6 linked regions of the Oryza sativa Japonica Group genome follow. Each later gene encodes a partner of the first gene's protein in a complex. Links are inferred from orthologs where the notes say so. Each region holds a gene or a part of one and is shown on either strand. Other genes may lie near its edges. The genes, in order: suppressor of mec-8 and unc-52 protein homolog 2, U1 small nuclear ribonucleoprotein 70 kDa, serine/arginine-rich SC35-like splicing factor SCL28, heterogeneous nuclear ribonucleoprotein 1, SNW/SKI-interacting protein A-like and serine/arginine-rich splicing factor SR45a.

The links.
Region 2: suppressor of mec-8 and unc-52 protein homolog 2 (region 1) and U1 small nuclear ribonucleoprotein 70 kDa share a complex: the UniProt entries of both Arabidopsis thaliana proteins name them as parts of the spliceosome. The link is inferred for Oryza sativa Japonica Group from reciprocal best matches to the Arabidopsis thaliana genes SMU2 and U1-70K.
Region 3: suppressor of mec-8 and unc-52 protein homolog 2 (region 1) and serine/arginine-rich SC35-like splicing factor SCL28 share a complex: the UniProt entries of both Arabidopsis thaliana proteins name them as parts of the spliceosome. The link is inferred for Oryza sativa Japonica Group from reciprocal best matches to the Arabidopsis thaliana genes SMU2 and SCL28.
Region 4: suppressor of mec-8 and unc-52 protein homolog 2 (region 1) and heterogeneous nuclear ribonucleoprotein 1 share a complex: the UniProt entries of both Arabidopsis thaliana proteins name them as parts of the spliceosome. The link is inferred for Oryza sativa Japonica Group from reciprocal best matches to the Arabidopsis thaliana genes SMU2 and AT4G14300.
Region 5: suppressor of mec-8 and unc-52 protein homolog 2 (region 1) and SNW/SKI-interacting protein A-like share a complex: the UniProt entries of both Arabidopsis thaliana proteins name them as parts of the spliceosome. The link is inferred for Oryza sativa Japonica Group from reciprocal best matches to the Arabidopsis thaliana genes SMU2 and SKIP.
Region 6: suppressor of mec-8 and unc-52 protein homolog 2 (region 1) and serine/arginine-rich splicing factor SR45a share a complex: the UniProt entries of both Arabidopsis thaliana proteins name them as parts of the spliceosome. The link is inferred for Oryza sativa Japonica Group from reciprocal best matches to the Arabidopsis thaliana genes SMU2 and SR45a.

Annotation. Positions count from the first base shown.
Region 1 is NC_089045.1:2,156,834-2,160,843, forward strand, and holds the end of suppressor of mec-8 and unc-52 protein homolog 2, read right to left. Parts: intron 4,010-4,010; coding exon 3,961-4,009; intron 3,854-3,960; coding exon 3,764-3,853; intron 2,974-3,763; coding exon 2,905-2,973; intron 2,824-2,904; coding exon 2,700-2,823; intron 2,307-2,699; coding exon 1,948-2,306; intron 1,774-1,947; coding exon 1,387-1,773; intron 992-1,386; coding exon 716-991; 3' UTR 501-715; downstream 1-500. Other genes in the region: phospholipase A(1) DAD1, chloroplastic, read left to right, coding at 1-93. UniProt on the Arabidopsis thaliana protein: Auxiliary spliceosomal protein involved in splicing of specific pre-mRNAs that affect multiple aspects of development.
Region 2 is NC_089044.1:1,015,679-1,019,914, reverse strand, and holds the start of U1 small nuclear ribonucleoprotein 70 kDa, read left to right. Parts: upstream 1-1,436; 5' UTR 1,437-1,520; coding exon 1,521-1,622; intron 1,623-1,722; coding exon 1,723-1,837; intron 1,838-1,997; coding exon 1,998-2,077; intron 2,078-2,790; coding exon 2,791-2,866; intron 2,867-2,947; coding exon 2,948-3,012; intron 3,013-3,111; coding exon 3,112-3,174; intron 3,175-4,236. UniProt on the Arabidopsis thaliana protein: Mediates the splicing of pre-mRNA by binding to the loop I region of U1-snRNA.
Region 3 is NC_089037.1:14,526,512-14,530,654, reverse strand, and holds the start of serine/arginine-rich SC35-like splicing factor SCL28, read right to left. Parts: upstream 2,801-4,143; 5' UTR 2,710-2,800; coding exon 2,492-2,709; intron 1,017-2,491; coding exon 939-1,016; intron 568-938; coding exon 403-567; intron 288-402; coding exon 220-287; intron 140-219; coding exon 100-139; intron 1-99. Other genes in the region: pentatricopeptide repeat-containing protein At5g18950, read left to right, coding at 2,977-4,143. UniProt on the Arabidopsis thaliana protein: Involved in intron recognition and spliceosome assembly. Probably active at the 5' splice sites.
Region 4 is NC_089044.1:18,096,319-18,100,070, forward strand, and holds heterogeneous nuclear ribonucleoprotein 1, read left to right. Parts: upstream 1-1,243; 5' UTR 1,244-1,358; coding exon 1,359-1,580; intron 1,581-1,657; coding exon 1,658-2,830; 3' UTR 2,831-3,252; downstream 3,253-3,752. UniProt on the Arabidopsis thaliana protein: Involved with pre-mRNA processing. Forms complexes (ribonucleosomes) with at least 20 other different hnRNP and heterogeneous nuclear RNA in the nucleus.
Region 5 is NC_089036.1:32,490,198-32,494,359, reverse strand, and holds SNW/SKI-interacting protein A-like, read left to right. Parts: upstream 1-1,362; 5' UTR 1,363-1,463; coding exon 1,464-3,287; 3' UTR 3,288-3,719; downstream 3,720-4,162. UniProt on the Arabidopsis thaliana protein: Splicing factor involved in post-transcriptional regulation of circadian clock and flowering time genes. Associates with the pre-mRNA of PRR7, PRR9, ELF3 and GI, and is necessary for the regulation of their alternative splicing and mRNA maturation.
Region 6 is NC_089037.1:8,817,989-8,822,168, reverse strand, and holds the start of serine/arginine-rich splicing factor SR45a, read left to right. Parts: upstream 1-1,380; 5' UTR 1,381-1,510; intron 1,511-2,367; coding exon 2,368-2,390; intron 2,391-2,469; coding exon 2,470-2,538; intron 2,539-2,653; coding exon 2,654-2,765; intron 2,766-2,836; coding exon 2,837-2,986; intron 2,987-3,093; exon of another isoform or gene 3,094-3,191; intron 3,192-3,308; coding exon 3,309-3,372; intron 3,373-3,495; coding exon 3,496-4,121; 3' UTR 4,122-4,180. UniProt on the Arabidopsis thaliana protein: Probable splicing factor involved in constitutive and/or alternative splicing events. May bridge the 5' and 3' components of the spliceosome.

The sequences.
Region 1 (4,010 bases):
CGCCTTTGCAGCCAGGGCGACACGGCGCGCAACGTGGTTGCATCGCATGACCTTGATTTGTATCTCAAGCTCGTGGCAGCCTGCACATATTAGTTAGGACCTGTGTCTACGCTAACACAGTAATTAACACAGTAATTAGCACAGCTTAGTTAGGACCTGTAGCCAATGCATTAACACGTTAGGAGTAATTAACGCACGCACCTCAGTTTGCTGTCAAACGGTGATTCTTTTTTTTTTTTACTGACAGAGAACAGGAATAGATCAACTACAGAGTGACAGTATCAGTCATTCACAGTTTCTGTAAAATGGTGATTCTTTTGTAATGACAAAACGTAACGGAAGTTAAAATGTCTTTTGACCTGTTCACATTACTGTTCTTCCATAACAGTTCATATACTGTTCTTCCAAAACGTAACGGAGTACGTCATTTGCTTAGCAGATGACTTAACGCGTACATTGTCATGGAAAATTGGACTTTCGATGTTTTTTTCTTTTCGTAGTAAAACAAAGCAAATTACGGGCTGTTCTGTTATAAAAATGGATGAGCTACATATTATCACTGTTTCAGCTCGAAAGCATGGCCATCCCGTTCTTTTTCCCTTCTGCACCGGCCAAAACGCAGAACATTACAACTGTCAGGTGTTCATGGCACTGTAATTCCTAGTACAAATACAGTTTTACCTCTCGCAGGATAAACTATAAGTGTCTAATAGCATCAGGCACGTTGCTTCTTCCCACTTGGCATATCATCATCGTAATGCCCGCCATCATGCCCTCCATCTTTGTCACCTTTCTTTCTCGCAAGTATCTTGTTGATTTTGTGGAGGTCATTCGTGAGCTTCTGGTCCTTGTTCTGCTTCCTCGTCTTCCTGCCATCCTGCATCTTCACCCCAAACTGGAATGCAGCCTTCGGCATGGCTTCCTTCTGGTCGTTGTATGTGGCCCACTCCTCTTCTGTCTCAAAGTCCCACCTGTGAAGACGGCCCTTAGCCTGCAAAGGAATCATACATTATAATGAAGCTGGAAATAGGTAGTATTAAGTTTTTTAAAATGGATAGAAAACATGAGCTCAAGAAATCCACAAAAGCAAGTTTATCTTTTTTTTTCTTTGAAACAGAGGAGAAACAGCTCCTACCCTTACCAAATTTACTCTTAAGGAAAAGCATCAGTTCAGCGACAGGAAAAGACGAAAAAAAACTAAAAACATCCACTGACGGGTTACACAACAAACTGTGCCATCCCACACATTCTATGTAACCCCTAAAACAGGCTAGGTGAAACAGGTCCATCAAGTCCACACAAGAGGCTAAAAAGCAACTTTATCTGCTATAACGAAGGGAAACGAAAAAAAAAAAAAGCATACAGAATACTACAGTACTCACTTACCCGGCCACCCATGTCCATCTTCGATAAATCATCTTCTTCATCGCTGCCTGCAATCTCATGATTATACTCCTGATAACCAGGATAGCACTCGGAGTAACTATCCGAGATAAAATTAGGATCTTTCTCCCGTGCATCTTTCTCCCTCAGCTGTTTAAGCCTTTCATCATCGCGTTTGAAAACAGAACCAAGACCTCTGTCTTTATCTGCTTGAGTCATCAACCTTGGATCCTGGGTTATATTTGGATCAGCTAGTACATCACAGTCCTGAGCGCTTTGTTGCATGTACTGTTCTGGATAAGCCATCTGTTGTTCGCCATACTGATAGCCTGACCACTCCCCTTGATATCCAGCAGCTACCATTTGAGCTTGAATAGCATCGTACGCATTCTGACATCAGAAGAGAACTTTTAGGAAATACAGGTCAAGAATAGAACAAGCTAATAAATGGCTATTTCAGTAGAAGGTTGTAAACAAACACTTCGTTTGTCTCCAACATTCGACACGCATAACTATAATTGCTCATAACACAGTGGAACCAAAGTTAAACATTAGCTGGATTACCGGTTGTGGCCAAGCTTGAGCAGGGTCAGATGGTGGGATGGGCCCATAGATAGGTTTCTCTTCAGTGAAATAGGACTGCTTCTGATGGTTATGTGGGGACTCATCCATATCTTCAGAGACAGGGCTCTGGCTCATTTCCTTGTTAGGAACAGAATAGTAAACCCCATCTCCAACAAAAATGTCATCTTCATCTGCTCTAGCAACTGGAGCAGACGGTTTCTCATTTTTGCTTAAATTATTATTTCGAGGGGGTGGCGGCGGTGGCATATCCTTTTCAAATTGATGTTTCAGAGCAGACCCATTAGTTTGGCCAGGTCTAGCTACCTCATCGTAGTCACCACTTGCTAAACTGTTCTTCCCTGCGTAACAAGAATCAAGATATCTAACTTCATCGAGCAAAGCAAGTGAAGATATGGATGAGAAAGTACATACATTGCAAATACATTAAGTGAACTAATTAATTCGTTCATAATGTAAAACAAACGTGTAACATATGGTCATAACTTAAAATACCCAAACTTAAATTATTGACGTGAGACTATAAAACAATTGAAACAAGACTCAACCATTGTGGAAAAAAGTACCAATCATACTTTTCTTTTCTTTTTTTCACAATGCAAGTATCAGCTTCCAAACAAATCATTTCAGCGTATTTCACATATTATCTTAACCAAGAACATTTTCCTAATGTCACTTAGTTTTTCAGTCAACTTCCACTGCACAAAATCCATTTTAATTTTCAAGTAACATACCTTTTGTGTCCCTCTCCTTTTTCTTTTTCTTCAAGACTTTCCCAGATGATCCAAGTCGAAGGTATGACATGATTTTAGCAATCCTATCAAGTACAGAACCATCCACACTGACAGTTACCATCTCCTGCATAAGCAAGAAGAATACTGAGGAAAATAATAAATTTCAGGAAACTTCAATGTGGCATATGATGTATTGCCATAATACCTCTGGAACAGAGCAATCAGCTTTGCTCCTGTGAAGTGTTGTCGGAATATCATTGGTAAGTCCATCCTCCTGGTTTCATTAATGAAATTAATCACTCTCCAGCTAAAACCCGTAGTTCAAATCAAAGCAGGGAATGATGAAAAAAATTATTTGCAAATAGCATAAATCAATAGTACTGGACATGCCACAATAATAGGCAATGCGAACACCTTTACTCTTATTATCAGAAAATCATTTGGAAGGTTAAATCCATTAAATGAAAACATTATGCATACAAAATATGATCTAGTGATGATTTCTGACTTGTAAGATGGATCATGGTCATAGTGAACATACTGTATATTAGTAATCATTGAAGCCATGATGCATCGCAATCACAATTTAAATGTGCATGACATAAAAATCATTGCACCAGACACATGTAACCGCAATACTATACTATAGTCTATAAGTATGATATTTGAAGAGTTCTTTCATCCTTCCTTTATTTCTTCTCTTGTTTGCATATTGTGGAGTGAAGTGAGAGTTTGAGCATGTTGATTGTACTGCATTCCAGGTGATGAGCAGAGAAACAAACAATAATACATCATGAAACATAGTCATGCATCATGTATACTATAAAAGCTGACAAAACATAAGCATGTTATCATTTACATGCTAGCACAGAATTGAAAAATTCGAAATTGAAATAGCAATAACGTTTATTTGCAACATAGCAGCATCATGTTTCGTACAGATGAATCCTGATGAGAGATGAAAATAAAATAATATATTGTAGTATCATATTATGAAGGAAAATGGCCACCACCAATTACAAAAAAAATGTAATTAACATAAGGGGGAACTTTGAAGGAGGTACCATGTTGTAAATAAATGCCATCCGACCAGGAAGAAACATTTCATTCGACTTTATGATGCTTTGTGGCTTTATGATCCATTGATAGACAGACTGCAATGAACCAAGAACTGCTTTTAGTGTCCATGTTACATTACATTACATGGTCAATAATATAAGCAGCCAACATCAATTCTATTGTAAATTAAAAGGAAACCTACCTTTGCAGCTGCAGTGCGGAATGAGACTGCTTGATCTTCTTTTGTAGACC
Region 2 (4,236 bases), on another chromosome or scaffold:
TTTTTCCATTCTTTCCCCTTTCGATTGTAAACTCATGGTTGACACATATATGTACAGTTCAGATTTATAAGTTGCAGCTATGCCTTTAATGGATGAAAGTGGGCATATATGTAATTTTGAGATGGTTTTAAAGTGAGTGATTTATTTTCTTGTGCTTGGTACAAACTAACAATATGCATGTAAGAAAGGTTTAGGATAGGGTAGATTTACTCCAAAGCTGCTTGCAGCAGATAAGTTTACACTACAATATTTAGCCGACAGGTTCATGGGCAAGTGTTTGTGAGTTTTTTGGTCCAATTTTTCTAAAATAATAGGCCAAGTCTTTTATTCTTAGATGAAAAACAGGCTTTCCCTATTGTCTTCTGAGGTTTAGCTTAAAAAAGCCCACGAGTTCATGAAAAGGTAGTTGTCAGAACTGAGAGGTATATAGCCTTCCTTGGCTTGCTAGCCTTCAACCTATCGTTAGGCAGTAAAATGGAACGATGGCCAGTTCTATATATTATGGCTCTGCTGTGCTTATACCATTTGTTATTGGAGCATTTCATCCCTAGGTCTATAGCAGCGCTCCTCTTCATATCCTCATTCCCATGTGCTCATGAGGTATGTGCGTCGATTTGCATCCAAATAATATCAATGATGGACGTTTGGTAACTAAATGTTAATTCTTAATTACCACAACTAAAATATATGCCGTTTAATTGCAATCAGGTTGTCCAATAAACTTGAAGAAGATATAGGTAAATGGAAGCCTGATGATATCATGCAGGTAAATAAAGGCCTGATAAGATCAAATCAAGTAGGAATTTGTATTTTTTTTACCAAAGATTAAATCAAGTGGGAATCTCGTTTTTTTTCCCTTAAAGTGCTTATATGCTAATAGGGTAGATTTAAGAGGACGTCACGGGCCCAATCAGGCATGCGAAAAATCACGCGTGAGGGTGTTGCGGGCCCAATCGCAGAGGAGCACAGAGGCGTATGTGGAAAATGAACTCAGGCGCAGGTCTGCAAGCGGCAAGGGGCACGTAAAAAGGTGCATGCCTAATTACTTCGTACGCGTATGATTTAATAGAAACATAAAATTAAAACCTATTCCAATACAGATGATGTACCAAAATTCTAACGAAAACATCTTCAATTTTTATAATAGTAGAGAAGGGATTTGCATCATCAAATATCGCCGTAGCGTTAGCACGGGCATTTTACTATTTATAAAAAATGTGACACACGATTATAGCCCCCGTGATTCAATAGCGGCAGCAAAGATCCCTGCAACGCTCAGGCAGCAAAAGCATACACTAAGTCACCGACGCATGGGCCCGTGCGAGAGGGCGCTGACGTGTGGGCCCCACATAAAATTCTTCCGTCTCGGCTTCCCCCTCTTTTTACTTCTCTCTCTCCTCCCCTAATATCCCGAGAGAGAGAAAGAGAGATCCCCCAACGCTTCGCGAATCGCAAATCCCTCTCGCTTCTCTCTCTCTCTCTCTCCTCGCGCCGCCGCCGCCACCGCCGGCGCCGCGGCCATGGGCGACTACGGCAGCGGGATGATGCGGGGGAACCCGGACGGCGGCGGGATGCAGTCCCGCACCAAGGGCCAGCGCGTCAACGTGCAGCAGCTCAAGCTGGTAAGCCCCCACCCCCCCCCTAAACCCTAGCTGCTATAACCCTAGCTCCTCTCCGGATCCGCCTCGATCTGAGATCTCTCTCCATGGCTCGCGACCACAGATGGGGCAGGGACACCCGACGGGCCTCACCCCCAACCTGCTCAAGCTCTTCGAGCCCCGCCCGCCGCTCGACTTCAAGCCGCCCGTCGAGAAGCGCAAGTTGCCGGCCTACACTGGTATATTCCCTCACCCGCCTCATCTTCTATTCTATCTGTTCGGTTCTAGGGGGATTATGAATATATTTTTTTCTTTTAATTTTGTCTGTTAGATTTATTTTGTGGATGAGTTGCTTCCTGATGGATGGACTCACTCTTGTTGTTGATTGGTTGGTTGCAGGGATGGCGCAGTTCGTGTCGCAGTTTGCGGAGCCCGGTGACCCTGAGTACGCGCCACCCGTCCCCACATGCGAGACCAAGGTATACTGATACTGCTGCAAATTTGTTTTCTGTATCAATTTTAACTCGTTTGAAGCGCAATCGTTAGTGTTGCATTTTGTTTTATGTCTCCGTAGTGCAAGATGTTCCTACTTCTTATGTTGTCGTGACCATGTCGTATTTATGCCAATGGTATACTTTTCGTGTGGCCATAACCATATTGCATAGTTTCCACAACCATATAGTTGCTTTTTTCAATCGACAAAATCAATTATTTGTAATGGTGTCAGAACGCTTGCTGGTCTCTGAACAATCAGGATTTCTTAAGACTGTTAGTATTAGTATGTGAGCTTCTATGACTACACCTGCTGGAAAGTCACTCACAATTTGACTGTTTGAGCATTGTTCCACTATAGTCAGCACAGGAAAATTAGGTCCAATAAGTTCTACCTGAAATTGCGAGGTAAGAGTTGGAGTCAAATGTTCCCACCTCTGAGATGAATATTTCCACTTTCACCACATGAAAACTCTCTCAAAATAAGACATGTGTAGCTGTCCAAACATTTGTTTGCCAAAATTCTTCTTCTGGTAATTGTATGTGACTATGTCAAATACGCAGCTTTTTGTTGGCACTACTGGCTTTACTCTTTTTTTTTCCATGTCTGTTATTGTTTCTAGATCTACTGTATTATTCGTGCCTATTGTCATTTCATCATTCCAGGTCATGACTTGGTGATTATGTTTTATTTACGCAGGCTGAAAAGAAGGATAGGATCCGCAAAAGTAAGCTTGACCAAGGTGCGGCTAAGGTGGCTGAAGAGCTTCAGAAATGTAAGTTCTTTCTTAGCTGCTCTTCCCTTTGTATCATATGATAGATACTGATAACATCATTGGTGTGGTTTCTTAATGTAGATGACCCACAGAGTGACCCCAATGCCACTGGAGATCCATACAAAACACTCTTTGTTGCAAGACTTGTAAGTTTTTTTGTTGCATCATTCACAAATTATTTTGAACTACATAGTTGGTATTATTTTTGTATGTTACTTCCTATTGACTCCAGCAAACGTTTACAGAACTATGAGACGTCTGAGCATAGGGTCAAGCGGGAGTTTGAAGCTTATGGGCCTATTAAAAGGGTAAGTACATGTGGTAAATTCCAGTGCAGGTGGACTTATTCCTCTTTGGTAAGGTGTTTGGTTGTTCTAATTCATCTACAAAAACATGTTTTAAGAAAAAGCTGGTTCACTGCCATTATATATTGCTTACTTGGAATTTCACAACAAGGTGCTAAAGGATGAAAGGGATATCTTCTATCTCTCTCCGATTTTCAATGGGCAGAATTGTCTGTAGTATTTGTTTCTAAATCAAACAAAATGCTGTGAAGTCTTCTTTTTTGTAAAGAACAAAAATAAGTTATTCTGTCAAGTCTTTTTTTTTGCAGCAAACAAAAATAACTTCTTGTTTTTGTCAAACAGTATTCATAGCACTCTCATTTTCAAGTTGGGCAATACATTCACTGTTTTGTGTGTAAGCATGCATTTGCTGTTTGCTTCTCAATAATGATGTTGGTTGCATTTTGCTAAACCAAGGAGAAAATAACCAAATAATCTTCTCAAATTATTTAAATAACACTTTTATCTTGTATTGACATGTATTGGTTTGGGTGGTTCGGACAGTCTTTTCTTTGTTATCCATTTCTAAACATGTGGGCTCTGTTGATGTACTTAGTGGATAAGTAATATAGAGCTCCAGCAGAAATTATGTCTTCTGGTAATTTTTGTTAGACATATTATCTGAGTTACTGTTGAGCAATTTAATGTGCGAATGGTTGGTACAACCATTAGAAGACTAAAAAATCCTGGGAAATACAAATACACACAAGCAGGTATTTTTACTGCATGCAGCCTTGATGTTTTTTTTTCTTAGAACATCTTTTCCCTTTTACTCTCGGAAAAGATCAAACCATTTGCTTCTGCAGTAGGCACAATGTATCATTTGTTTTCCCATTCTATGAACTTGCTTCTCGTGTGTATTAACTGGAGCAAACAAGCTTGAAGAATGTTGGCGATGGCACAAGTAAGCTTAGATCACTTTATGCTTTTAAAAGCAGCTTATCTGCAGGCATGGGGTTTCTACATTCTGGGATTTATTAGGTTGCTGGTGAGTACAGTGTTTATGTTACTTTCCCTGAGCTGTTA
Region 3 (4,143 bases), on another chromosome or scaffold:
AGAGATGTTTGAAAGGAAAAAGAGTGAAACACTGACAAACAGGAGAGGACAAGCGTATTTGCTATGCTATATGTAAATACTAAAATATTGAGATGATACCTGTAGTCACGTCTAGCTGGAGAGGGTGAAGGTGAATAAGCTGACAGGAAATAGAGATCATTTAGTGATGAGATTAAAAATCATAAAATATTAACTCATATAACAAACATTTATACTTACAATGGTAACGAGACCTTGGAGATCTTGATACTGACCGCCTTCTGTGGCTACCATCCATGTATCTTCCACTACACAGACAGAAGCACAAAGCATTTCTTTTGTTACATCAAATTCCAGTCGCTGCTATCATATATATTCCAAATGCCTAATCTGGAAGTTGGTAAAATATAAAAAATTAAGCACCTTGTTCTTGTCCTCATCCGCATTTCTTGTGGGGTTTTTCTGTTCTCCTCGGCAAAAACTATTGAAATCTCTCGTCCACCAATAACTTGATGATTCAATTCTTGCTTGGCCACTGCAGCATCTTCTGGATAGCGGAATTTTACAAACCCAAAGCCACGTAATTCCCTACAACAATTTAACACGATCATGGAAGTGATTGTGAATCAGACAAAATCAATATACACATCAAAAGACATTCTTAAAAGAACACAGAATGTGCAACAAGCATCTATAAACCCTATTTCCAAGCAGAATACATGGTTCAGACCAACATCAAAGCACAAGCATAAGGCAGCCTGGAAACAAATGCTCTTTGAAATGTTCATAATAATGATAAAAATTACTGGGTTCAATTAACGCAATTTCTTCATGTTGTTCAAAGAATTGCTTATCTTCTGTGCAACATGATAAACGTTCCAGAATTAAGATATTGACTTAACTAGAACTCAAATGCACCAAAACAATTGTGTAAGAAACATAAGATAAGTTATTATTACCTTGTATGGAAATTTCTTGGAAGGTAGACATCCTTTACAGGGCCAAATTGCTCAAACGGAATACGAATATCTTCAGGCCTGCAAAAAACGAAAATCAAATAATATTAAACCATAATTAGTAGCTACAGTGCAAAATCATCTACATACAAAAAGAAGATACTTCAGTATGTGATTGTGGAAAGCTGTATATAAGAATGATTTACTGTGCACTGGCTACTTATGTACTACATGCTTGCAGTGTAGAAAATGTTGACTTAAAAAAAAGATCCTGAGCGTTCCAAACTATCGAGAAGGGAACCTAGAACAGTAGCATTATGTCTCCAAACTACAAGATCTGAATTATCAAAGGTTGCAACCACTGTCTATATACAAATATGAATACATCCAGAGTTCATACATTTGTTTTTGTTTTCCAGAGACATAAGCAGCATTATATGATGCAAAGTTCATAAAACAACGGTTCTGCTAACAAAGCCATATCTAAAAGAACTAGATTAATTCTAGGAACACTTAAAGGAACACAATTTAGTGCTTACAATTTAGCCTCTACCGAAATAAAACTTCATAATAGATCTGAAAAATGTTCCATCTCAATATATGCAGTTAAAATCCAACCTGACACTTGAGTTGTTAAAACCTGGTAACAAGACATTTGGGTGAAAGCTTGGATGATACAAAAAAATGCAAGAGAAATGCTAATCCACATATGTGGACATCCATGCACTGTTGTATCTGCCTGTTTGGGGGAGCTTTAGATTATGAGAAGCAGCTGTTTGGTAGCCAGCTTCTGAGAATCTGGAAAAGCTCTGAAACCCAGCTTCTCCAGCTTATGGCTTCTTAGTTCATTTTTCAGAACTACAGATTCTCAGAAGCTGTGGACTGTTTGGGGCAGCTTCTAGCAGAAGCAGCTTTTGGGAAAAGCTGCAGCTGGGACAAGCTCCCCAAACAGGGCCTAAAGTGCTAGGAAATTTTTAATGTACAATAAGAGCTATTTGAAGATGGGAATTCTGGTTTGCATGTCTAACTGATGCATGAATCTCAAGGCACTCTGTACAGATGAACATCCAATGCGCAAAACCATTAGAAAAATGCATTAGGTTACTAAGGTAGGGTATGGAATATGGAAGCTACCTATACCAACATGTTCAACCTTAGTGAATGGCTTCCAAAACATTTGTTCTCTCCTAGAGAGCAACAAGTGTGAAACAGCCCACTACCATGAGTCCAGCAAGCATTTGCTGGCATACAAACTATCAGGAAAAAAACCGTCGTATTTTCTCAACAGTTCCACATCAAAACAAACCTGCTCTGTTTTTTATTCTGAATACAGCAACAAATAAAAACACATATAAGACTGAAAAGCACAGAAGCACACAACCAAGCCTAATGCAACTACCAAACAAAACAATGTGCAGATTCACAGGGATTACACACTGAACGTATCAACCAAACCACATAGCGCTGTGCTACTAGCAATTATTCAAATTGCGGTAAGCCCTAGATCAAATGGGCAAAAAAAAAATAATAATCCAAAGAGGGCAACGGCTACGCACCTTGCGGTGAGCGAGATGTTGCGGACGAGGAGCCCGGTCGGCGCAGGCGGCCGGCCATACCCGCGGCGGGGCCCTTCGCCTCCACCTCCACCTCCACCTCCGCCGCGAGGATAGCGGTCGCGCGGGTCATCGTACCGCTTGTACCGCGGGGGGCTCCGGCTGTACCTCCGGCGCGGCTGCGGGCTGTAGCTCCGGCTCCGGCTCCGGTACCCGGCCATCGCCGCCGACTCGCCGCGACCCGGCCTAGGGTTTCTCTGAGGTTTGGATTTTTTTTTCTTTCTGTCGACGAAGGCTTGGGCGAGGAGAGGTGACGATGCAGCACGGCACGGGGCGCTTTTATCTAGGAGAACTCGAAGGCCCATGGGCCCATGGGCCAGCGGCCCATCTGACCCGCCTCCAAGCCTGGAAAAGTCTTCGTAGGCAAACCTGGCCGCGGCCACCGTGACACACTTGACACTCCTCGCGCCGCCGCCGCCGCCGCCACGATGCTGCGGCCGGTGCGTCATTCCGTGCAGCGCCTCTGCTCCACCTCCACCTCCGCCGCCGCCGCTGCTGCCGACGCCAACAACCCGCCGCCGGCCACCTTCCTGGCCGCGGCCGCCACGGCCGCGGCGAACATCCTCGGCGCGGCGCGCTACGAGTCCCGCCTCCTCTCGCTCCTCCCCGGCGACCTCCTCTTCCACCCGGCCTGCGTCCGCCTCACCCTCTCCCACCTCCTGCCTTCCCCTGACCCCTCCCTCCGCTTCCTGCGCTTCCTCTCCTCGCACCTCCCCGCCGCCCCCGACGCCGCACCGGCGGAGCCCGAGCACGAGCACGAGCACGAGCCGCCGCTCCTCCCCGGCGTGGACGGCTTCCTGATCCAGCTCTGGCCGCCCGACGCCGCCGACGCCGCCGAGGTGCTCGCCTCACGCCTCGGCATCCACCCCTCCCTCCGCGCCCTCAACTTCGCGATGCGCTCCGCCCTCCGCGCCGCGCGCCCCGACCTCGTCTTCCGCCTCTTCTCCGCGTTCTCATCCTCCCCGGACTTCCCGGGCGACGCCGCCACCGTGGCCTTCCTCGTGCGCGCCTGCTCCGCCGAGGGCCGTCCGCTCGACGGCCTCCGCCTCCTCCGCGACGGGGCTCGCCGCGGCGTCCCTCCCCAGCTTGACGCCGTTGCGGATCTCGTCGCGGCCTTCTCCGCCGCCGCCAACTTCGGCAAGGTGTCCGAGACGCTCCACCTCATGATCGCCGCGGGAAGTGTCCCAGATACGGTCATCTACCAGCGCATTATCCACGGGCTTTTCGCGCACAAGATGGGAAGCGAGGCCCTGCGAGTCTTCAACGAGATCAAGCTGCGGGGCTACAACGTCGATGCGGTCACATACACAACGGCGATCGACGGATTGTGCAAGATGGGCTGCATAGACGAAGCGCGGCAAATCTGGAATGAGATGGTGGACAAAGGAATGGAGCCTAACGAGTATGCCTACTGCTCTCTGGTGGCCTACTATTGTAAAGCTGGTGATTTCGAGATGGCTCGCAAGGTGTATGATGAAATGCTCGGGAAGGGTTTAAAGGAGAGTACAGTCAGCTGTAACATTTTGGTCACAGGGTTTTGTACCCATGGGAGGGTGGACGAAGCGCTTGGGATGTTTGAGGAAATGGTTAAAAAG
Region 4 (3,752 bases), on another chromosome or scaffold:
CCATTTACAAAATCCGCTATGATTTGCACAAAATTACTACCCAAACTGAATAACATTACTATTTTTACAGGGCAATCCAAGGATGGGTGGATTTACTCGATGGATCGACAATGTCACTCCATCATATCATGGCCAGAAGATAACATAGTCAGAAACACAAGTAGAGTATCAACGATTGAAGGACCACGAGAATGCAATGCATTCTGACCGACCTAGAAGGTGCCGATAGGTTACCGCATGCTTGATTCGTCGGGATCGACAAATTTGTACCGTGTATCGATGGCACTTCTTATCTATCTTATCATTACAATGTTTAATTATGGTGGTGATTTTTTGTATGCGTAAGACTAAGGGCCTATTTGGATTGCTACCAAAAACATGCCCTACCAATATTTTGGTAATTTGAATAGTACTTGTGTTTGATTTCGATTGAAGCCTATTCATTGGTAATACGTAATCTAGATTTGAGATTATGTAGAACATTCTTCACTACAATTTTACATTTTGGCAGCAAACCAAATATGATCAAATGCAATTTTACCTTACCAAATATTTGGTAGTGCCAAAACTTGCTTATATTTTGGCACTAACAAAATATTTGTACGGTAACATTCCAAATAGGCCCTAAAAAATAATAAAATTGTATTTTACCAGTCTTGGAGATTTTAATCTTGTATAGTTTTCAATATAAAAAGATTTGATAACTATTGATATTTATAAAAAATATAAAGCACAGTATAAATTCGCCCTCCCCCAGGGCGGCAAGGGGGCCGCCTGCAAAATTCCAGGCCCCCCGCCGCCCATTTGCAGGCGGCCCCCCGCACAGTACAAAATCGCCCTAGCGGAGGGCGGCAAGGGGGCCGCCTACAAATTTCGTTGACGGCCGTCGCCCGAGAGCGAACGGCCGTCTGCCACGTCACTTTCGCCGCCCTCTGGGATGGCGATTTTTAAAAATCGCCCTCCCAGAGGGCGGTAGGCGACCACTTCTGTCAATTTTCAAAATGAAAAATTATTTTTTGTAAAACTTTTAATAAAAAAAATTAAAAATAAAAAAAATTCGAGTTCCTACAAGCTCGCACCAAATTCGGCCCATAGAAAGAACAAAAAAAAAAAACCCCAAAAAAGAAGCCCACAGAGAAGAACAAAAATAACCCGTCTCCCCCACGTCCCCACCCCCCACACGACGCGCCCTAAAATATCCCCAAACCCTCCAAATCTCCGCCCCCCACCTCCCCTCCCCGACGCCGAAATCCCCCAAATTCCACCCCCGCCTCCTCCTCCTCCTCGCGTCGCGAGAGAATCCGAGGCGCGCGAGCGAGAGGAAGGAGAGAAGGTGAGAGCAGCGGCGGAGGGAGGAGATGGAGTCGGATCAGGGGAAGCTGTTCATCGGCGGCATCTCGTGGGAGACCACCGAGGAGAAGCTCCGCGACCACTTCGCCGCCTACGGCGACGTCTCCCAGGCCGCCGTCATGCGCGACAAGCTCACCGGCCGCCCCCGCGGCTTCGGCTTCGTCGTCTTCTCCGACCCTTCCTCCGTCGACGCCGCCCTCGTCGACCCCCACACCCTCGACGGCCGCACGGTATCCCCTCTCAAACCCTAGCGAATATTCGCGTTGGATTCCCTCCTCTCAAGGTTCGGTTCGGTTCGGTTTCGTAGGTTGATGTGAAGCGGGCGCTCTCGCGGGAGGAGCAGCAGGCCGCGAAGGCGGCGAACCCTAGCGCGGGGGGGAGGCACGCCTCCGGTGGGGGCGGTGGTGGGGGAGGCGCCGGTGGTGGTGGTGGTGGCGGCGGTGGTGACGCCGGCGGTGCGCGGACGAAGAAGATCTTCGTCGGCGGGCTGCCCTCCAACCTGACGGAGGACGAGTTCCGGCAGTACTTCCAGACCTACGGGGTCGTCACCGACGTCGTCGTCATGTACGACCAGAACACGCAGCGGCCGAGGGGGTTCGGGTTCATCACCTTCGACGCGGAGGACGCCGTTGACCGCGTGCTGCACAAGACCTTCCATGACCTGAGCGGGAAGATGGTGGAGGTGAAGCGCGCCCTGCCCAGGGAGGCCAACCCTGGCTCCGGCAGTGGTGGCCGTTCCATGGGAGGCGGCGGTGGGGGTTACCAGAGTAACAATGGGCCGAACTCCAATTCTGGGGGCTATGATAGCAGAGGTGACGCTAGCAGGTATGGTCAGGCGCAGCAGGGTAGTGGTGGTTATCCCGGTTATGGTGCTGGAGGATATGGTGCTGGTACGGTTGGTTATGGATATGGGCATGCTAACCCTGGAACTGCGTATGGGAATTATGGGGCTGGAGGATTTGGAGGTGTTCCTGCTGGGTATGGTGGGCATTATGGCAATCCAAATGCGCCTGGTTCAGGTTACCAGGGTGGTCCTCCAGGAGCAAACAGAGGACCATGGGGTGGTCAAGCTCCGTCTGGTTATGGCACTGGGAGTTATGGTGGCAATGCAGGCTATGCTGCTTGGAACAACTCTTCTGCTGGAGGTAATGCACCCACTAGTCAGGCCGCTGGTGCAGGCACAGGCTATGGGAGCCAGGGCTATGGATATGGTGGATATGGAGGAGATGCATCGTATGGTAATCATGGTGGATATGGGGGTTATGGAGGAAGGGGAGATGGTGCTGGCAATCCAGCTGCTGGCGGTGGATCTGGGTATGGTGCTGGCTATGGAAGCGGGAATGGCGGTTCTGGTTATCCAAATGCTTGGGCTGATCCTTCACAAGGTGGAGGGTTTGGGGCTTCAGTCAATGGAGTGTCTGAAGGCCAATCAAATTATGGCAGTGGTTATGGTGGTGTGCAACCTAGGGTTGCTCAGTAAATGAGGCCATTAGAGCATCTATGAGATGAACCAGCAAAATTGGGCAGTCTATGTATGTTGTGTTACCCTGGCCCCTCTGATTGCTTTTGGCCTCTTGAAGATCTCCCATTTGCTGGTTAAATCAGTATTTCTCCGGGTTGGAATGCTTGAACCTTTTGCGGCTTACTACTAGAATGTAGTCAATAACTAGCTTCTAGCTATACTATGGAGTAGCTGTATCTTGCGTAATGCTTTATTTAAGTTTAGCCTTATCTGTCGGTGTGCTTTGTCATGAGTGGAATTTCAGTTGCTTCGTCTCTAGTTTAAAGCTAGAGTAGCTTCACTACTTATGGACAACAAACTATCTAGTTGTACCTTTATTCTACAGAATCATATGTTTGTGGTTGACAGTAGTATTTATGCTGGATTGTGCTTTACCTGAATCTGAAATGTTCTATCTTTGGTTGTTTCTCTGTGGTGTGCTCTAGCTCACCTTGCAGTTAAGGTGCTGTTGCGTATTATTCCATTAATATTGATTGTAACAGATGACAATCCTCAAACTTCTATGCAGTGATAGAGGTGTTTTATACTGTAGCTGCTTCTAGCAGTAAGTTCAGGTGTAGTGCAAGTGCTTTTCATGTCATTGGAATGATATATCATTAAAGTATGTGGTCGAGCTATGAGTATGTTTCTGATATTTGGTATGTAGATGGATAAACAAGCATAGTAGAGGCAAACAATTAGCCCCTACCTGAAGCAATAAGAGCATATTAGCAGCAAGTTGGTAGCGCCAATTTCTAAGGTAGTATAGATACAGAGAAGTCTGTGATACTACTTGATGAATGAAATACAGGTAGAAACCATAGAGTAGAATACTCCAGGCATTTGGCAAGCAAAATAATCATCCTTCCTCGTACATTTCCTTTCTGTACAGGTTGGATGC
Region 5 (4,162 bases), on another chromosome or scaffold:
GGTGTGGTTTCGCATTCTTTGGATGGATCTACTTTCATTTTCATTCTTCTTTTTCTGGTACAATTATACTCCCTGTAACTGTAGTCCTGTACCATGCAATTTAACTGTAGCATAATTCGTATTCTAGAAGATTTTGGCCTGTTAAAATACAAACAAATTGATAGTGTCCGTAGTACATGTGGAGTAGTATGTGCTGCCCATTTAGATCGAGTTGTCTGGGTACTTCCACGCCACCATTTTTTCCAAGTCCATAAAATATTTTCTATTTATTTTAGTACGGCAGATTTTCATTCGCTAGCCAACCATAGAACTGACACATTACATAGGCACTTTCTCTTTTTCCTGGGATAATACATTAACATTTGGGGTAACATTTTCTAGTGGACCAAAAATTTTGTCGGCTGGTAACACGGCCTTTGAGAAGGCCCAGTACTGCAGGTATACCATTCCGTCCGGTCTCCAGCCCGCTTCCTTACGTTGTACTTAGTAGGATAATTTGGGCTGGCACAGTAAGTAGGCCTAGCATTTTCACCGACCACGCGCGTGGGCCTGGCTGGGTGGTGACAATGTGTGTCATGTGGAGCCCAAATTGGCAGATTAAACTCGTGTTAGCAAGCGAAATTAATGGGCCCACTTGTCAGTCTCATTTATTCTCGTTAAACAAACAGGCAAACATTCCGAGCCGTTAATACCGTAGCCTCGTTACTCGTTACTCACTCCGTCCAAAAAAAAATAAATCTAAAATATAGAATGTGACATATCCTAGTAGAACGAATCTGGACATATGTATGTCCAGATTTATTGTACTAGGAAGTACTATGTTGGTTTTTTATGAGACGGAGGGAGTAGCCATTACCCGTGCAGACAAGCATGGCTCCGTTCGAGCAGGAGAGATTGCTGGGAGATTGAGGAGAAAACATCTACTTTTCTACGCGCACACTTCCCAAACTACTAAACGATGCGTTTTTGGCAAAAAAAAATTCTTTTGAAAAGTTGTTTTAAAAAATCATATTAATCTATTTTTAAAACTTACAATAGTTAATACTCAATTAATAATACACTAATGGCTCACCTCACCTTATTTTGCGTATCTTCTCAATCCCCTCTTTCCTATCCTCTCAGGATTCAACCCAGTTATCATCATCACCAGTATTAATAGTTTCCAGCCCAAGGAATTATTTTGTTTCGGACTAGAAGTCTCAGACACGATGGTATTTGCTTCGGATTGGCTAAGGATTTGGTGCATATTTATCGGCCCAGCCCAAATTCTTATCGGGCCTAGCCCATCCGGTAGCCGCCATAACCCCACCGGCCACCGTGGTCAGCTTCTCTTATCGCGTTGCCCAAATAATTACACGAATCGAACCAAACCCTAGCTTTTCCTCTTCGATTCCCGATCCCCCACCCAGCGACTCGCCGGAACCCTAGCCCTAGATCCCGCGCGGCTTGCCGCCGTGCTAGCCATGGCGTCCCTCAAGGAGCTCCTCCCGACGCCCAAGGCGGCGGCGTCGACGTTCTACGACCACAGCAGCGACCCGTGGTTCAAGGAGCGGTATGGCGGGGAGTCGGCGCAATCCGACGCGGCGGCGGCGGCGGCGAAGCCTTCGGGCCCCGCCAAGCCCGTGCCGCCGTACGGGAAGCGTGGCGGGTTCGTGCCGCGGCGGCCGGAGGACTTCGGGGACGGCGGCGCCTTCCCGGAGATCCACGTCGCGCAGTACCCGCTCGGCATGGGCCGGCGCGACGAGAAGGGCGGCTCGAAGATCCTCGCGCTCACCGTCGACGCCAAGGGCAGCGTCGCCTTCGACGCCGTCGTGAAGCAGGGTGAGAACGCCTCTAAGATCGTTTACTCAAAGCACAGCGACCTCGTGCCCAAGATTGCCACGGCTGATTCCGAGGCAACCGCGGACGACGAGGAGTACCAGAAACAGATCGAAGAAACCACTGAACGAACTAAAGCTGCCTTGGAGAAGGTTGTCAATGTTCGGCTCTCCGCCGCACAGCCCAAGAATGTGCCGACGCATGATTCAGAGTCAAAGTTTATCAAGTATAAGCCATCGCAGCAATCGGCAGCCTTCAATTCAGGTGCCAAGGAGAGGATTATTAGGATGTCAGAGATGGCTCAGGATCCTCTTGAGCCACCGAAATTCAAGCATAAGCGAGTGCCCCGCGCTTCTGGATCACCGCCTGTCCCAGTGATGCACTCGCCACCACGGCCAGTGACAGTGAAGGACCAGCAAGATTGGAAGATTCCACCATGCATTTCAAATTGGAAAAATCCAAAGGGTTACACCATACCACTCGACAAGAGGTTGGCAGCTGATGGAAGGGGGCTGCAGGAGGTTCAAATTAATGATAACTTTGCAAAGCTCTCTGAAGCACTGTATGTGGCGGAGCAGAAGGCCAGGGAGGCAGTACAGATGCGATCCAAGGTGCAGAGGGAGCTGCAGCTGAAGGAGAAGGAGAGGAAGGAGCAAGAGCTAAGGGCACTTGCACAGAAGGCGCGCATGGAGAGGACTGGTGCCCCACCTGCACCTACAGGGGTTCCTGCTGGTGGTGGTAGAGGTGCTGTTGATGACAGGGAGGAAGATATGGATTTGGAGCAGCCTCGTGAGCAACGAAGGGAGAGTAGAGAAGAAAGGGAAGCAAGGATTGAGCGTGACAGGATTCGTGAGGAGAGGAGACGTGAGAGGGAGAGAGAGAGGAGGCTGGAGGCCAGGGATGCTGCAATGGGCAAGAAGAGTAAGCTCACTAGAGACAGGGATCGTGATGTCAGTGAGAAGATTGCCCTGGGCATGGCAAGCACTGGCGGTGCTAAAGGTGGGGAAGTCATGTATGACCAGAGGTTGTTCAACCAGGATAAAGGAATGGACTCTGGGTTTGCTACAGATGATCAGTATAACATCTACTCCAAGGGTCTCTTCACAGCGCAGCCAACGCTATCCACACTTTACAGGCCTAAGAAGGACGGTGATTCTGATGTGTATGGCGATGCAGATGAACAACTGGAGAAGGTTATGAAGACAGATAGGTTCAAACCAGACAAAGGATTTTCTGGTGCTTCAGAGAGGTCTGGAAAGAGAGACAGACCTGTGGAGTTTGATAAACAGGAGGAGAATGATCCCTTCGGTCTTGATCAGTTCTTGACTGAAGTGAAGAAGGGGAAGAAAGCTGTTGAGAAGATTGGAAGCGGAGGAGCCATGAGGGCAAGTGGTGGATCCTCAATGAGAGATGATTACGAGGGTGGAGGATCTGGGAGGTCCCGCATTAACTTTGAAAGAGGTCGTTGAGGTATTAGATCTGCATGTTTTGTTCAGAAGTTTCTCCATGCATTCCAAATGTTATCTGGAGGGTATTCTGTTGAGAATATCAACTTCTTGATGAGAGGACTTGATGTCTGAGTTGTCTTAATGCAACGTCTACTTCCAAGGGGCATCTTAAGGAGTGTACCTGTTTAGATCCTGTGATTATGCTTGTTGTTTATCTATTTGTGGATGGATCTGTAAGCTTAACTTATCATCATTCCATATCCCTTATATTTTGTGGTGCTTTATGAAGTCTCGATGTGTCTGGCTGACCTTACATTTTCTGGTACTGTACCAAGTCTTTAAGATGTATCTGCCTATCTGGCTGAAATACTGAGACACGGGATACATATAAATTCCGTGTTCTGTTTTTTCACAAGTTCTAATTATTTCATGCTACCATGATTGTTGGCTGGATGGATTTCTGGGTATTGCCAATATCGGTATGTTGTTTTGGGGATATTCATGTTTTGTGCAAATAGTGAATTCTTCGAAAATTTTTTGTCGGTAAGCATTTTCTGTTGCAAGACTTTGCCGGAGCATTCCCTTTGCTTGCAGTTGATGTGGTTTCTGTAGTACCAACTTTCGGATTAAATAACTTCTCTTTTGTGATTATTACTGGTAAGATCATGGCATAATTTTAAAACACTATCCATCCTAAAATAAATAAACTTAATACATGATATGATATATCTTAGTATTAGAATCTGAACAGATACACACTTTCAGTTTGTTTTGTCTTTTCCTTTAGTTATGTAGATTCAGCCATAGTGTTGTGTTTTTCTTCAGGTATGCAGATTCAGCTATAGGAAATTAGGAACACAGTGAAGAGGAAAGTTTTCATTAGCACGTTTTCTTGT
Region 6 (4,180 bases), on another chromosome or scaffold:
TTATTCTACTTTATATCATGTCCTACTTGCATTAAACCTAGCAATATGTTTTGTAGTTTAATTGGATACGCCATATGCGGCTTCATCTTTTCTCTTATGCTTATGCTTATCAGCTAAAATTTGAATTTTCAACCTTAAATTTGAAGCTAGTTTTAGAGTTTTTTATTGAAGTTTATTTTTCAGCATTTACTTTTAGGTCGCTAAGAACACGTATATAAATGCTTTATTCACAAATTACTTATTGTTTGTAAATGTGTCGTTTGGCTTATTCCAAGAATAAGCCAACCAATGGGGGTGCGATTTGGATGGAGATAGCATTTCATAACTCGATAATTACTCTGACAAATAGAACAGCTAAAGCAAAATCAATCAACCATTCTTTTTATTATTATTATTTTCCTATGTTGAGGTTCACACATAGAATTTTTCATTTGTAAAAGGACACACCATTTAACAGTTCGGAAAGCGTGCGCACATAAAACAAAGATTTGAAGTTGGGAAAGGGAAGAACCAAACACACCCTTAGGCCCCGTTTAGTTCCAAAAATATCAAATCGAATATTTGGACACATGTATGGAGCATTAAATGTAGATTAAAAGAAAAACTAATTACACAGTTAGGGGGGAAATCGTGAGATGAATCTTTTGAGTCTAATTAGTCCATGATTAGCCATAAGTGCTACAGTAACCCACATGTGCTAATGGTGGATTAATTAGACTCAAAAGATTCGTCTCGCGATTTCCAAGCGAGTTATGAAATTAGTTTTTTCATTCATGTCCGAAAACCCCTTTCGACATCCGGTCAAACGTCCGACGTGACACCCAAAAAATTTCATTCCGCGAACTAAACATGCCCTAATATTTGTAACATAGATGAACAATACAATTGTAAGACACATAAGGATTGTAACTCTTATATTTTCATTAAAATCTCTGTTGGGGGTGTCCATTTTATAGAAATTTTACAGGGGAGTATAGGATTGAATTATTTGTTTAAAAAAAACTCGTTAGAATTATCATTATAATTAAAATGCTCTAATTTTCTATAGGACCAAAAGAGGTCTAGGCTGTGTGTTTAGTTCTACACTAAAATTAGAAGTTTGGTTAAAACTGAAAGTTTAAAGAAAAAAAATTAAAAGTTTATATTTGTAAAAATTTTTGATGTAATGAAAAAATTGGAAGTTTGAAGAAAAAGTTGGAAAGTAAACCAAACCCTGAAGGGAAACTTTTATTTACTGCAAACCGAAAGAAAAACCAATGGCTCCAAGAAGCGCCATGTGTGAAGGCGTGAAGAGGAAGGCGGAGTTCGTGCGCGCAACCGATTCATCAACCAGATTTGAGAAACTTTCGCGTCCGCCTCCGTCCAGAACCTTCCCCATTCCACACTTCCATTTATTCTCCCAACCGCACGCGCTCCGACGCGCAGAAAGGCAGCGCCGTGACTGAGAACAAGAGAGGCCGGCACAGAGAGACGCTCTCGGCTAGGGCACGGATCGTCGCGACGAAGGAAGGTATTATTGCTGCCTCTGATTCTCCTCATGTTTTATCTCTGCTAAAGACGGTGAATCCGTTCGTTCTCTGTTCCAGTATGGCGATGGTTTGCCCCTCTGATCTGTATAAAAACATCCGTTTATATTTATTTATTTTTGTTATTCTTAATCTATATAAAGATAAATCCTAGCTGTAGTTCGAAGCGTTGCGGCAGGAGTTCCCCATCTTGGATAGCGGCTCATTTGTTAAAATGATCTGATTTGCGTGTATTTGCTTTGCAAAAGAAGAGGTATAGATTGCTAGTACATGGGTTTCTAGAGGGGCACGAAATGAAGAAATGAAGGGAACAAATTGTTGTACAACTTGTGGCATAATCATTTTTTGTCCATTGTATATGTAGTTTGAAACGCAACTGTCGAAAGTTCGAAACTTGCATAGTGCCCCTACATGCCTCGGAGGAAACTTAGGGACAGTGTTAGGAAGTCGATTTATCTTAGGGACTGTATGGTTGGAAGCTTCAATTGCTGAGCGCAATTGCATAAGTTATAGTTCATGATTACCATGCTGAAAATAAACAAAGAATCTCCTGTCTTGCAGTTTCTTGTTCATTTCGTTATGTTGGTTTGTGGATTATTTTTGGCGTGCGCTAGGTATATACTCTGGGTCATCTCTTCATTCTGAAGATAATAATTTTGTTTTGCAAAATATCTTACTGATTGGCATATTGTCACCAAGGTGTCATAAATTAATCAGTTACAACTTCAAAAGGCTATGAACCCACTGTTTGTTATAATTACATTTTCAAGTGGCATCTCATGTTTTTGTATATATTTGTTTCTCTAGTGGATATTGATGCAATCATATGTCTATCTTGCAGATGTCGTACTCCAGAGGATCAAGGTACGCATTACCAAACTTAATTTTTTTCCACATTTTTTGAAGCCCTGTCTTGTGATTATTGATTGGCTCCTACTGATAGATATGAGTCCGACTCATATTCTACATCGCCCAGACGGAGCAGCCGTTCAAGGTATAGGAGTCGTTCTAGGTATGGTATTTATCTTAGCGCTTAGTATGTTTCTGCCTTCACTCTATATTCGAGGGTGAACATTTTTGCCTACTGTAATTCTGATGAGTATGTGATATCCTTTTGATGTCTTTAGAAGTGTGGACTCAAGTGATGTTGAAAACCCTGGGAACAACCTGTATGTTACTGGCTTATCTGCTCGTGTGACAGATCGAGATCTGGAGAAACACTTTTCTGCTGAGGGAGAGGTAACCTTTATAGAGTATCTGCAAAGGGATACCAAAATAGTGTACAACTTTTTAAGCTCACCGTATTACAGGTTATTGATGCTAGCATAGTACTTGATCCATGGACAAGGGAATCCCGGGGATTTGGATTTGTTACCATGGCTACTGTTAAGGAGGCTGATCTTTGCATCAAATATCTAGACCGCTCAGTGTTGGAAGGTCGTGTGATAACTGTAGAGAAGGTATAATCACAATATATTTACTGAATTTCTTCACTTCTACTTGGAGTGAAATTTATATGCTCATTTAGCTTGCTGAGCTGAATATTTGAGTGCTCTTCCGTTTGAAGCTTTTGTTGACAGCAGCAGGGTAGATGTCCGTTGCTGCTCTACGTCAAATTCAAAAGATTTACAACCTAACAGCCAAACATGCTACCTCAACCAAAGGGTTGTATGCCCTACATTATATAGTCTCCATATTAATCATGTCGTTCAGATTCCCAATTTGTTGCATCACTCTTTAATGCTAATATGGCGAAAAGGCTTATTTGAATCCTTTCCACAGGCCAAGAGAAGACGTGGTCGAACACCAACGCCCGGAAGGTATCTAGGCACAAAATCATCATGTGGTAAGTTTGATTTAACTGCTGCTGTGTCTGGATGGTTTGGTCTCATTTCTCTGGAAAATAGGAAGCATTGCTAGCCTTTCCTGATATAATACAACTGATTGCTGAATATTTTTTATTATACAGTGACACCAGCACGGAGGTATTCCCCAAGCTACTCGCCTGTTGAAAGAGACCGCTACAGTTCACGCTACTCACCTGAGCGAGAACGGTCTTATTCTCCTTATGGTAGAAGGCGATCATATTCTCCATACAACAGGCGAAGATCATACTCCCCCTATGAGAGGCGTAGATCCTACTCTCCACATGAAAGGAGACAGTCCTACTCTCCGTATGGCAGATCCCCTTCTCCTTATGGTAGACGGCGATCATACTCTCCCTATGACACACGTGGTTCACGGCGTCGGTCATACTCATCTTACCGTGGTTCCCGCTACCGTTCAAGATCTCCATACCGTTACAGAAGAGAGAGGTCATGTTCCTATGACCATTCTGTTTCACCATACTATAGAAGGTGCTATTCTCCAAGTGCTAGAGGACGGAGCTATTCTCGCAGTGTATCACCTCAGAGGAGCTACTCCCATAGCTGTTCCCCGGATTCTCAGAGGTCAGGGAGCTATTCTCCAAGGAAAAGATACAGTGAAAGGAAACCGTCGCGCAGCAGGTCGTCGGGTAAGAGGCATTCTAGGGAGAGCTACTCTCACAGCCGCAGTTCCTACTCAAGGTCTGTCTCCAGGGAGCGCTCAGAATGAATTGAAGCTTGATGTTCTAGAGATCAATAAAGCTCTCTATGCCTAAGTGTATGTCTGTA